Neurospora crassa OR74A: one gene and its partner. The protein of the gene in region 1 interacts with the protein of each later gene in a pairwise test. Links are inferred from orthologs where the notes say so. Each region holds a gene or a part of one and is shown on either strand. Other genes may lie near its edges.

Region 1 (6,464 bases):
CATCCCTTTCCCCGTCTCCTGTACTTGAGTAAATCCAATCAACAAACATGTCAATCTTCAACAGCGAGCTCGAATTGGTGTCCATCACCACTTTACCACTACACCCTTTCATTCTACTCATACTATACCTTACCCTACCTCTACGGTGCCTAGCTTCTACTTCTACCCCTGGAGCAAGGCATAGCTTACATTACTAGCCCAAGTATAGTCACACGTGCGAACATTCGACGTCCATGCTGGCACGGAAGGCGTAATCCCATCTTGCCACTCGTACGATTCAGTCCTCGTCGCCCTAGTGTCTCATCCAAGCGAGCCAAATTGGCATCAGATCCCCATACGCCACAGACCGGACGTAGTTACATCCGATCAGTCAGTAGAAATCATTCAGCCCCTCTGCCTTTTTAAAACTGTGATATCAGACAAGAACGGCGCTCATGGGGCCATTGAAGTCCATCGAATGGCTACAAAACAGCAGCAGAGCAGGCAGCAGAATTTGACTTCATGTTTGCTAAAAGGCGAGAGAGGATTGGTACCTTACTTGGTTTCGAAGGGGCGGAGATAAGGGGATGGAAATTCAAATGTACCAGAACCTACTAATATTGAAATGTGATGTAGTGACGAGGTGAACGAGGCTCGAGGCAGGAGGGATGGGGCAAGGCGAGCCGATGTACAGAGCCAAGGTTCTGTAGATAATAGGAACGTCAAACGTTCGGTTGAGTCCACGCCTCTACTATCAGTGAACTCAACATGTTTGGCTGTTCGTCCTGGACGTGACACCGAGGGAATGGGCTTCACATACATATCCATCAACAAATCCAGAGCGCGTTGCGCTTCCTTACCTAACTTTGCAGTAGATACGTCTCTAAAGCCTTCGTTATTTAGCTAAAGTCAGTTGGTGTTGAATGTTGTCACGTCTTCCATATCGACGCTGCCTCGGTGATATTCTGAGCTCAAATCCGTTGACAGAGGGACACAAGGGTGATCTTGTCCTGAGTTTGACGAAGTCCTATCTTTAGCAAGAGTATTAGAACTCAATCAGGCTCCCGGGTACCTCGTGACTGGGGTGGGTAGGGGCAAGTTGGGTTGGAAGGCAGAGGGCCGGGTGTAGTTGACTGAATATAGGTAGTCCTCATGTCTAACGAGCTGTGCCCGGAAAACTGCCAAGCCTTGCTCACACTGACTCCACGAGAGTGAACGTCGTTGAAGTCGAGGCTGGTTTGATTGTTAGTCTGTTGCCTGAAAGGAAATGCCACACCCTCCGAGCTCCAGCCCCATTCTGGCTCAATGCGTGTTGTACAGTAGGTAGTAACGGTATATCGGATCCGGATCGTGGAGGCATTGGACTATGGGACCTTGAGGTCCCTTTGGACTCTGAATGGCCAGGTGGGCGGCGCGCCGCAGCGTCTTTGGGGTCACCATGTACAGCGGGGTAGCTAACACCCATGGTACTACACTACTGTAGTGTATGTATGTAGTACGTTACAAGGGTACCGAGCTCCCTGGCTTCTAGCCCCGCCTTCTTCCAGCCGGGCGCCGAGCAGTCCGGGGAGAGACTCCGGGACGTACTGGGTATCGGCGTGCCGGGGCGGAGCCGTATGGCCGGCGCGCGCCTCGTATAAGCACGGGCGGGGACGTGTCCTACAACCCCTGAGGACCCGGTTCTCGGTCGGGTCGAGGGTCGTCGTTTGCTCTTGTCACTCGCTTGCTCCACCCAAAGTGGCATGCGGGTTCCTGCGACGTCCGGACAAACGGACTCTCTCGAATCTCGATAAGACGACAGTTGCAGCCTGCCAACTTTCCGCGTGTTGTCCTGTTCCATTTCGTTTTCTGTGATACCTACCTAGCAGCATCGTTGGCCTGTGGCCTCTGTACAGGCCATCCGGTGGTGCATGCGACAACCACTGACCGCCTTGTTGTCCGTACTGCGGGGGAGGGGCAAATAGGAAATCCCAGGGCAGCATGTCTCGCTTCCTTGGAGAGACCTGACAGCCTGGCCATCTGGACATCGGTGCTCGAGCGGTGCTGCAGCATCCGAACCTCGATTCACTGTAAATCTCGAACTGAAGAAATGGAACGAACCCCAAGTCAAACAAGATGAAGCTTTGATCTGTCAGCAGCTTTGTAGAACGCATTCGAAGGTTCCGGCCGCACCGTTGCTTTACCAGGTGTGTCGGGCGACCTGAAGATCCTCGGAGCGATGGCAGAAGGCGTGCCTGGAGCCCGGAACAGCCAGGGCATGGAAGCAGACAGAGTGGCAGAATGGAAGTGTACCTATGGGCGAAAAGCACGGACCTTTGTCGCCCCAGAAAAGGCTCCGCTCATACTTCGTCATCCAAATGGTCGCCTGGCGGGGCGGTTTGTCAGTCAGTGACACTGACAGTTGAATCAGATGCCCGCTGTTGCTGTTGCCGCTCCCCAGCTGCTGGCCACCAGCTGCTTGCCCCTGGTTGGCTGGCCTTGGAGGGAGCAAGCGGTCGGTGCCACTCGCCGGCGCAGCGGTGCTTGCTTGCTTGCTTGCTTTGGCTCGAACCGTCCTTTCCATGCCTGGCCGTGACAACCTGAACGTAAACGAAACCAACTCCAACACCAAAACGCAAAGGCACTTCGTCCCTCCGACTGGTCCTTTTTTTTGTTTCCATCCCAACACCATTCACCTTCACCTCGCCGTCCAACCTCCAAAGAATCCCTTTATCAGCGGGTCTTGAGGCTACGAATTCTGGTTTCTTTTTCTCCAAAACCACTTCTTCCCGCTACATCCTCTCCGTGGATTAGCATCACCGTCCGCGATACCCAAATACCACATTTATTCTACTGATTCCAACACAAACGTCAAGATGGCTCCCGAACCTAATCCCGACCACGTCGAGCAGAAGAAGAAGGTCAACTTGATGTACGTGAAGCAGCGACGCTGATCGCGGGAGCTCTCGAAGCTGTCGCGCCCCCTCATCGCGAATGACGCCAAGCTGACTTGAAGCCAAACAGGGACGCTTCTGGTGCCGAGCACAAGGCCGTATGTTCAACCTCGCTTGCCCGCCAAAGACATCTCGAGAACCACTCGTGCTGACCGATGGAACAGGAAGATGATACCGCCACTGCTATTCTCAAGAAGAAGAAGAAGCCCAACCAGTTGATGTAGGTTGACGTTGAAGATGCGGGGCACTGCAACCTGAGCTAACACATATGCAGGGTTACTGACGCCGTCAACGATGATAACTCGATTATCGCCCTCTCCAACAACACCATGGAGCAGCTCCAGCTCTTCCGTGGTGATACCGTTCTCGTCCGCGGAAAGAAGAGAAAGGACACCGTCTTGATTGTTCTTGCCGATGACGATCTTGACGATGGCAGCGCACGCCTCAACCGTGTCGTTCGCCACAACCTCCGTGTCAAGCACGGCGACATCATCACCATTCACCCTTGTCCCGATATCAAATATGTTAGTCTATAACCCGGTCACCTAGTCATAGAATGGGCACCTTGCTGACACAGCATCTCCTTGTAGGCCAAGCGTATTGCCGTCCTCCCGATCGCCGATACCGTTGAGGGCATCACCGGATCTCTCTTCGACGTCTTCCTTGCTCCCTACTTCCGCGAGGCCTACCGCCCTGTCAGGCAAGGCGATCTCTTTATTGTCCGCGGTGGTATGAGGCAAGTCGAGTTCAAGGTCGTCGAGGTGGACCCACCAGAGTACGGTATTGTCGCTCAGGATACCGTCATCCACTGCGAGGGCGAGCCCATCCAGCGTGACGAGGAGGAGAACAACCTCAACGAGGTTGGTTACGATGATATTGGTGGTTGCCGTAAGCAGATGGCTCAGATCCGCGAAATGGTTGAGCTGCCCCTCAGGCATCCTCAGCTTTTCAAGTCCATTGGTATCAAGCCGCCCCGTGGTGTCCTGCTTTATGGCCCTCCTGGTACCGGTAAGACTTTGATGGCTCGCGCTGTTGCCAACGAGACTGGTGCCTTTTTCTTCTTGATCAACGGCCCCGAGATCATGTCCAAGATGGCCGGTGAATCCGAGTCGAATTTGCGCAAGGCTTTCGAGGAGGCTGAGAAGAACTCGCCCGCTATCATCTTCATTGATGAGATCGACTCGATCGCCCCCAAGCGTGAGAAGACCAACGGCGAGGTTGAGCGCCGCGTCGTCTCCCAGCTCCTTACTCTCATGGATGGTATGAAGGCCCGTTCCAACGTTGTTGTTATGGCTGCCACCAACCGTCCCAACTCGATCGATCCCGCTCTCCGTCGTTTCGGCCGTTTCGATCGCGAGGTCGATATCGGCATCCCCGACCCTACCGGTCGTCTTGAGATTCTCCAGATCCACACCAAGAACATGAAGCTTGCCGATGACGTCGATCTCGAGCAGATTGCTGCTGAGACCCACGGTTACGTTGGTTCTGATATTGCTGCCCTCTGCTCCGAGGCTGCCATGCAGCAGATTCGTGAGAAGATGGATCTCATCGATCTGGACGAAGACACTATCGACGCCGAGGTCCTTGACTCTCTTGGTGTTACCCAAGAGAACTTCCGCTTTGCTCTCGGTGTCTCCAACCCCTCGGCTCTTCGCGAGGTTGCCGTTGTCGAGGTTCCCAACGTCCGCTGGGAGGATATCGGTGGTCTCGAGACTGTCAAGCAGGAGCTCAGGGAGAGTGTCCAGTACCCCGTCGACCATCCCGAAAAGTTCCTCAAGTTTGGCCTTTCGCCATCTCGCGGTGTTCTTTTCTACGGTCCTCCTGGTACCGGTAAGACAATGTTGGCCAAGGCTGTTGCCAACGAGTGCGCAGCCAACTTCATTTCCGTCAAGGGTCCCGAACTGCTTTCCATGTGGTTCGGTGAGTCTGAGAGCAACATCCGTGATATCTTCGACAAGGCTCGCGCTGCTGCTCCTTGCGTCGTCTTCCTCGACGAGTTGGATTCTATCGCCAAGGCCCGTGGTGGCTCTGTTGGTGATGCTGGTGGCGCTTCTGACCGTGTTGTTAACCAGCTTCTTACCGGTAAGTTGATTCTTCCTTGGTTTGTGCCATTCTGCTGTGCATACTAACCTGAGCTATAGAAATGGACGGCATGACCTCCAAGAAGAATGTTTTCGTTATTGGTGCTACCAACCGTCCCGAGCAGCTCGACCCAGCGCTCTGCCGTCCCGGCCGTCTCGACTCCCTCATCTACGTTCCCCTTCCTGATGAGGCGGGTCGTCTCGGTATTCTCAAGGCTCAGCTCCGCAAGACCCCTGTCGCTGCCGATGTTGACCTGAACTACATCGCTTCCAAGACCCACGGCTTCTCTGGTGCCGATCTTGGCTTCATCACCCAGCGTGCTGTCAAGATCGCCATCAAGGAGTCTATCACCGCCGATATTCAGCGCACTAAGGAGCGCGAGGCCGCTGGCGAGGATGTCGAGATGGAGGATGAGGTTGAGGACCCCGTTCCTGAGCTCACCAAGCGCCACTTCGAGGAGGCCATGTCGATGGCTCGTCGCTCCGTCAGTGACGTCGAAATCCGTCGCTATGAGGCTTTCTCCCAGCAGATGAAGAACGCCGGCCCGGGTGCCTTCTTCAAATTCCCTGAGGGTGGTGTTGAGAGCAGCGGCAACGGCGGTGCTGGTAACTCGTTTGGTGATGCTGGCAACGATGATGATCTTTACAACTAGATGGGGGAGGGATTCAAGACTCACAGTATTAGAGCAGTCTTCCGCTAGCCTTGGGGCTCTACATGTATGTTAATATGCGCTCAAAGGATAGGAGTTGACGAGGTATTCCTTCAAAGTTGATTGACAATGTCTTTGCATAGTCTCTTTTGTTTGGCCCATCCAGGGTCGATTCAGAGCAATTGGGCACAAACGATGTGACTTATAAGATTCCACATAACAGCGGTACCCTCAGCGATTGTTTGGCATTCGGATTTGGTGACTGAGAGAAAATCATGCAGGCCATGACTTATGTTTTCGTCAACCTCGCTGGCTTTGTGTTTGACTTGGTTCCACCATGCAACTGCCTCCAAATTCGGTTATGAAGATAGGAACAGTGACCCTAAACTGATGTCAACGTGCGGCTCGTTTTTTACTCCCTTCTCAGGTTGCACCAAGTTTCTCAAATTCATTCTCAACCGTCTTCCCAAGCCTACTTGTCATGTCTACAAAATCGACGGCTGACTAGTGGGCGAGCCACTTGTAGTGATCAGTGCTGGAGTTGTATCCCACATTGTGAAAGGTACATGTGCAGTTTTCTCCCGACCCGCGATGCTCGACGAGGGAGAATCTACTTTTGGCAACAGCAAGGCCGGGCAGTCTTCCTTCCATAATTGATGGTAGATAATGTCGACTATTGAGCATGTACGTTGCCTGTGATCTATCCATTAATCTCTTCCGCCGTAGTTGCATCTGGCCGACGGACTGATGAAGAGGAGGCGTAAGGCTGAACATAACAAGCCCAACCAGATGGAGCATGAGAAATTGAAGCATTACCCCAA
Region 2 (5,434 bases), on another chromosome or scaffold:
TCAGAAAAAACTCACAGTAACTCCCAGATTCCCCCAAGTCATGGCATTCCACCCGCTCACATCCATCGTCCCCTCCCATCGCAGGGCCTCCGCCGTGATCATCATGTGCCCCAGATCCGCTACCCACAAAGCAATCAGGTAGTTTTTGACGACTCTGATCTCGGAAGAAGAGTACAGCACGCCTACCCCGACAAGAAAGGCGAGGAAATACATGTTACCTAGTTGGCGGGTGGTGGTGCGGCTGGCGGTGGGATAGGCGATTAGAGGTGAAGAGGAGGAGAGTTGTTCGTGGGTGAACCAATCGGGGGAGAGGATGGCGGGGAGAAAGCCGGATAGTCTGCGTGGGGAGGTGTTAGTGTTTCTATCTGAGAGTGAAATGTGATGAGAAGGAGCGAAGTATGCATACAGTGAGAGAGGTTCGAATTTGGTAAAGACAAAGCGTGGGAAAGGGGGTAGTTGGGAGGCCATTTTGTTTATTTTAGGGAAGGGGGGAATGTGTACGGGTGACGGTGAGTGAGGATGAATAAACAATGCAACAAGCTACACAGGGCCACGCGAGGTAATGCTTTCTGGAAGTGAAGAAAATGTAAGATGAGAGAGGTGTCGTGATGTAGTCCGACGCTTAATGTCTATTCTCGTGGTGTCAATGTTTCGCGGACAACAAAACTATCCGTCGCCTCGTCCCCTTGCTGTTGTCCATCAGGGTCCTCCTCTTTTTGATTGTTGTTCAGGGTAGGCAGCATCCAAGCGAGAAGACGAGTGGAACAACTGCACTTGGCATTTCTTGGATCCAGTCGCTCTAGATTGTATTCTTCCTTTTTGGAACCGGAACCTACCATATTATTTGATCCGCTCTTGTACGTTCTTCACTTGCATCGCGCTGAAACAGGCGTCGTATGCATTGCACATATCGAAGTCCGTTTACCATGCGGCATCAATTTACCGGTAGTGCGTTGAAAAATGCTCGAGACTGAGACGCAGCGTCCGATGAATCTCAAGGAGACAAGAATTAGGTCGACAAGCCGGTCAGGGTTAGGGCTCAGCCGGACAACAAATGAAAGGTACCTCGCGGCTCGCAGTACATATACTTGTGTCGACCCCGTTGGGCAACGCCTTGAAAAAATTTCTCTTCTTTTCCAAATATTTTCGGATTTTCATGAGAGAGCCCACAAAGAGCAAGACAGTTACAAACAGTATCGCTTTGGTTACTGGAGCTTGTGGCGGTGCGCTAGGGTCAAACTGTGACTTCGATCGGATCGGTAGAGGTACGTCACCCGAGATGACTCTTATCGGCCAACGATGTCTAGCGCGATAAAGAATGCCCCACTGATGCTTGCCAGGGAACTTCACAGTTGACGTCTCATAGCTTTCAAGCCCGTCACGGCCAACATCAACATCAACATTAGCATCGAACGGTGACCCGACAATTTGCAAACAAGGTTTATAACAGAGAGGCGCCCCATTCTCAACCACTCGCCGTTACAAAAACTTTTTGCTTCCACTCATCACCAGAAGCAGCCATCGTTCCCTCTCCCAGACGCCAGTAACGCTCACCTTTCCTCATCACATTCGACAATATGGCCAGCAAACAGGAAGACCTCCAGCGGAGGCCCGTCTATCTATACGACATCGACGCCGACATCCTGAACACGGTCGCCCTCAAGTCAGATGCGGACATTACAGCCGAGCCAGTCAACGAAACCGCCAAGCAGACAATCGATACCACAGCATCTGAGCCCACCGCATCGGGGTCGCAAGCCAGCTGTTCACTATGCAGCCTCAAGTTCGACAACGTCCAGGAACAACGAAGTCACTTGAAGACCGATTTTCACCATTACAACCTGAAACAGAAACTCAACGGTCTTTCCCCAGTAACCGAGGCCAAGTTTGAGGAGCTCGTCAACAATCTCGACGAAAGCATTTCAGGTTCCGACTCTTCAGACAGCGAGGATGAAGAAGAGGGGCAGGACAAGGATACGAATATGTTATCTGCCCTCCTGAAGAAGCAGGCCAACATTGTAGAAAAGATGACAAAGGAGGGTGGCGATGATGGTGAGAATGACGGGGAAAAAGTGAAGTCGTCAAACGGGTCGCAACCATTGCTCTGGTTCAGCTCCCCGAAGTTACCCGAGAACTCTTATTATGGCGTCTACAAAGCCATGTTCACCCCAGAAGAGCTGAAGAAGGAGGACGCTATTATGGATGCTATCAAGTCCAGGCAACTGGCACCCATCACCATGGGCAAACCGCCAAAGGACGCCAACGATATCCCACCAAATTACACTGGCAAGCACATCTTCATGTGCATGATTGGCGGTGGACACTTTGCCGCTATGGTTGTCTCGCTAAACCCACGGAAGACGAAGCATGGAACAACCGGACCCCTCAACAAGGAAGCCGTCGTCCTAGTGCACAAGACCTTCCACAGATACACCACTCGTCGCAAGCAGGGTGGTTCGCAATCCGCCAACGACAACGCCAAAGGCGCCGCCCACTCAGCCGGTGCTAACCTTCGTCGGTACAACGAGCAGGCTCTCGTCGAGGATGTTCGCGGGCTGTTGGCCGAATGGAAGGGACTTATCGACACATCCGATCTGCTCTTCATCCGCGCCACCGGCTTAACCAACAGGAGGACATTGTTCGGCCCTTACGACGGACAGGTCCTGCGGGCGAACGACCCCCGCATTCGTGGTTTCCCATTTATGACCCGGAGAGCTACCCAGAACGAGCTGATGCGCGCCTTCATCGAGCTTACCAGGCTGAAAGTACGACAGATCGTCCCCGAGGCAGCCGCTCCGACTACCGAGTCACCGAAGAGACCGAAGAGCCCTAAGCCGGCTGCGGCTTCGAAACCAAAACTTTCAGAAGAAGAGGAGACGCTCCTTTTGCACACCCAACAGATCCAGGCCCTGGTCAAGCGCTCAAAGGTGCCCGCCCTTCTATCCTACCTCAGCACAAACGACATCTCCCTCAAGGAATTCCGCTTTTTCCCAGCAGACCACCACACTCCAACGCCGCTTCACCTGGCCGCATCCCAAAACTCGGCGCCGCTTGTGACCGGTCTCCTCACCCGCGCCGGCGCGGACCCTACCATCCCTAACGGCGACGGTAGGACTGCCTTCGAGCTTGCTGGCGACCGCGCCACCCGCGACGCTTTCCGCGTTGCCCGCTCGGAGCTTGGTGAGGAAGCATGGGATTGGGAAGCCGCCGGGGTCCCCGTCGCGCTATCGCGGGACGAGGCATTGAAGAGGACGGAGAGGGAAAAGAATGAAGCGAAAGAGAAGGAGGATCAGAGAAGGAAGGCTGAGGAGGAGAGGCTGAAAAAGGAGGGACCAAAGGTTGATGCGACGAAGAATGGGAAGAAGGCTGGTGGCAGTGTGTTGGCGGCTGCGATGAAGCTGACGCCGCAGGAACGAAGGGAAGAGGAGGCGAAGGGGTTGACGCCAGAAATGAAGATGAGGCTGGAGAGGGAGAGGAGAGCGAGGGCGGCGGAGGAGAGGATTAGGCGGCTGCAAGGTGGGCAGTAAGTCTAACGTGTGAAGCTGGTGCTAGAGGGGGTGGGTAAGATGAGGGAAAATGTCATGGACACTTTACGATTGCATCTAGGGTATACCAATGTCAAAGCGTTGCCAACGTATGACTCAGTTTGAGGTGAATGGAATTGACTCCCTCTGCCCATCATTATCGGCAACCTTTGGTCAACCAATGAATAATTGATCATGAGCAATTAATTGGGCATGATTCATGGAACAGGTGAGCAAGCCATGCTATTTTAGGGCGATTTCGGCTTATATATAAGATGGGTCCCCAGCCTAAACGTATCTCAGGGTAAGAAGTAGGGCATTGGGGATGGTCTCAATCATCATTGAAGCAAAAAATGAACATCATGTCTATATTTCGCCCTTACAAGACTACTCCTACAACGACAAGCATGAAACTAAAAACAATGCGAAATCTTCCTGGTCTTAAACTATCTGGTGTAAGCTAAACATTGCCTTCATAGTTTATTTTCTTCGAAATATTGCGAGCGAACAACACATCAACAGATCGAAGATTACCTATTTTCATTTAACCGAACGTCTGCTCTGTTAGTATTCGACTTGTGTCGCTAATATTTCGAGAAGAGTCCCTTAAGTCTGGATAGATGACGGGAAGATATACTCCTATCAAGGTTCCGATCATCAGGTATAGCCATATTTTACAAAGCGTTGAGTGTCAGTTCTCGCCGTTCTTGGGTTCGCTCTTGTTTTTGCGAATTTACTTCATTGAAGCGTATCTGATGCATCACGATGGCTAAAAGCACGTTTCCTGACCTGACTGATCCAAAATCACTGGGATACCCAATTCTCAAGGATGCAACTGATGAAGGATCAGGAGCCGGGGATTAAATCTCGGTCGGATGTACGATTGAAGACTTCAGGTTGTCTTCGTATCGTCCCATTCACTGAACCCCGTGCCTTTCATCACGCAATAACAAACGGCTGGAGATGGCTCACCGGTTACACTCTCGCTCGAACGACTGTATAAAGTCGACTCCTCGAGATTTCCAGTTGTCTCAATTCGTTTCCTCCTTCACTAATCTCTAGATCTACACGCTTTTGACACTCGCCTAGTCCATCGACTCCTCCATTACACACCTTCAACCAACAATAACCAGTCATCCTTTCACCCACATCACAATGTGTCTCGAAAAGCGCAAGCTCTACACCGTGTGCGGCCACCAATCCTCCGGCATTCGTCTCTGCCATCGACAGCGCGAGATCCCCAATGATCTCGAGGCCTCAGGACCTTCAATCCCAAGCGGCAGCGACACCGGCGCCGCCCTTACCTCCAAAATCTATATCTGCTCACACCTCACTCGCTTTATTTTCCCTGCAACCCAACCGGTCCCCTGCCGACCACCACATCCCTACTTTACTGAAATCCGCTTCGGCTTTTGTTGTCGCTGCCAGGCTTACTACCGCAGCGCCGGGTTTGCGCCCTCCGAGTCCGACGACACTCGCAACGACCAGGTCGTTCTCAAGTATTAGAAGTACAAGAACGTCCGTGGTTGGAGCGAGCCGGTAGATGCGGAGTGCGTGCCTGGGAAAATCATCTTTGACGGGGGGACGGAGTACGTGGAGGATCCGAGGGTGGGAAGAGGGGAGATTATCATGTTGGGGAGACTCGTGCCGTTTGCGGGGGAGGATGTGGGAGAGGGGATTCAGAAGTTGGAGGATATCAGGTGGAAGACGATCATGTGGGCTGAGGAGGGAAGGAAGAAGAGGGAGTGGCGAGGGGAGCTTGAGGAGAGGGAGAAGGAGTGGGAGAAGGAGGAGCGGGGAGAGGAAGAGGAAGATGAGGAGCGAAGAGATGTGCAGTCTAGGACTGGTTCTCAGCATGATGCCACTACAGAGGCAGACGAAGCCAACCAAATCACCAACAGGGCGCTGGT

Evidence for each region. The genes of interacting proteins can lie anywhere in the genome.
Region 2: the proteins of NCU00018 (region 1) and NCU02147 interact in binary tests that used the Saccharomyces cerevisiae proteins (3 or more experiments, as listed by UniProt). The link is inferred for Neurospora crassa OR74A from reciprocal best matches to the Saccharomyces cerevisiae genes CDC48 and VMS1.

The regions. Positions count from the first base shown.
Region 1 is NC_026503.1:2,303,701-2,310,164, forward strand, and holds NCU00018 (cell division control protein Cdc48), read left to right. Parts: upstream 1-2,404; 5' UTR 2,405-2,834; coding exon 2,835-2,890; intron 2,891-2,982; coding exon 2,983-3,010; intron 3,011-3,076; coding exon 3,077-3,132; intron 3,133-3,186; coding exon 3,187-3,436; intron 3,437-3,502; coding exon 3,503-4,994; intron 4,995-5,053; coding exon 5,054-5,646; 3' UTR 5,647-6,126; downstream 6,127-6,464. UniProt on the Saccharomyces cerevisiae protein: ATP-dependent chaperone which probably uses the energy provided by ATP hydrolysis to generate mechanical force to unfold substrate proteins, disassemble protein complexes, and disaggregate protein aggregates.
Region 2 is NC_026501.1:1,082,711-1,088,144, forward strand, and holds NCU02147 (ankyrin repeat and zinc finger domain-containing protein 1), read left to right. Parts: upstream 1-1,367; 5' UTR 1,368-1,577; coding exon 1,578-3,527; 3' UTR 3,528-3,708; downstream 3,709-5,434. Other genes in the region: NCU16330 (hypothetical protein), read right to left, coding at 16-337, 407-468; NCU02146 (hypothetical protein), read left to right, coding at 4,680-5,023, 5,165-5,434. UniProt on the Saccharomyces cerevisiae protein: Endonuclease that cleaves polypeptidyl-tRNAs downstream of the ribosome-associated quality control (RQC) pathway to release incompletely synthesized polypeptides for degradation.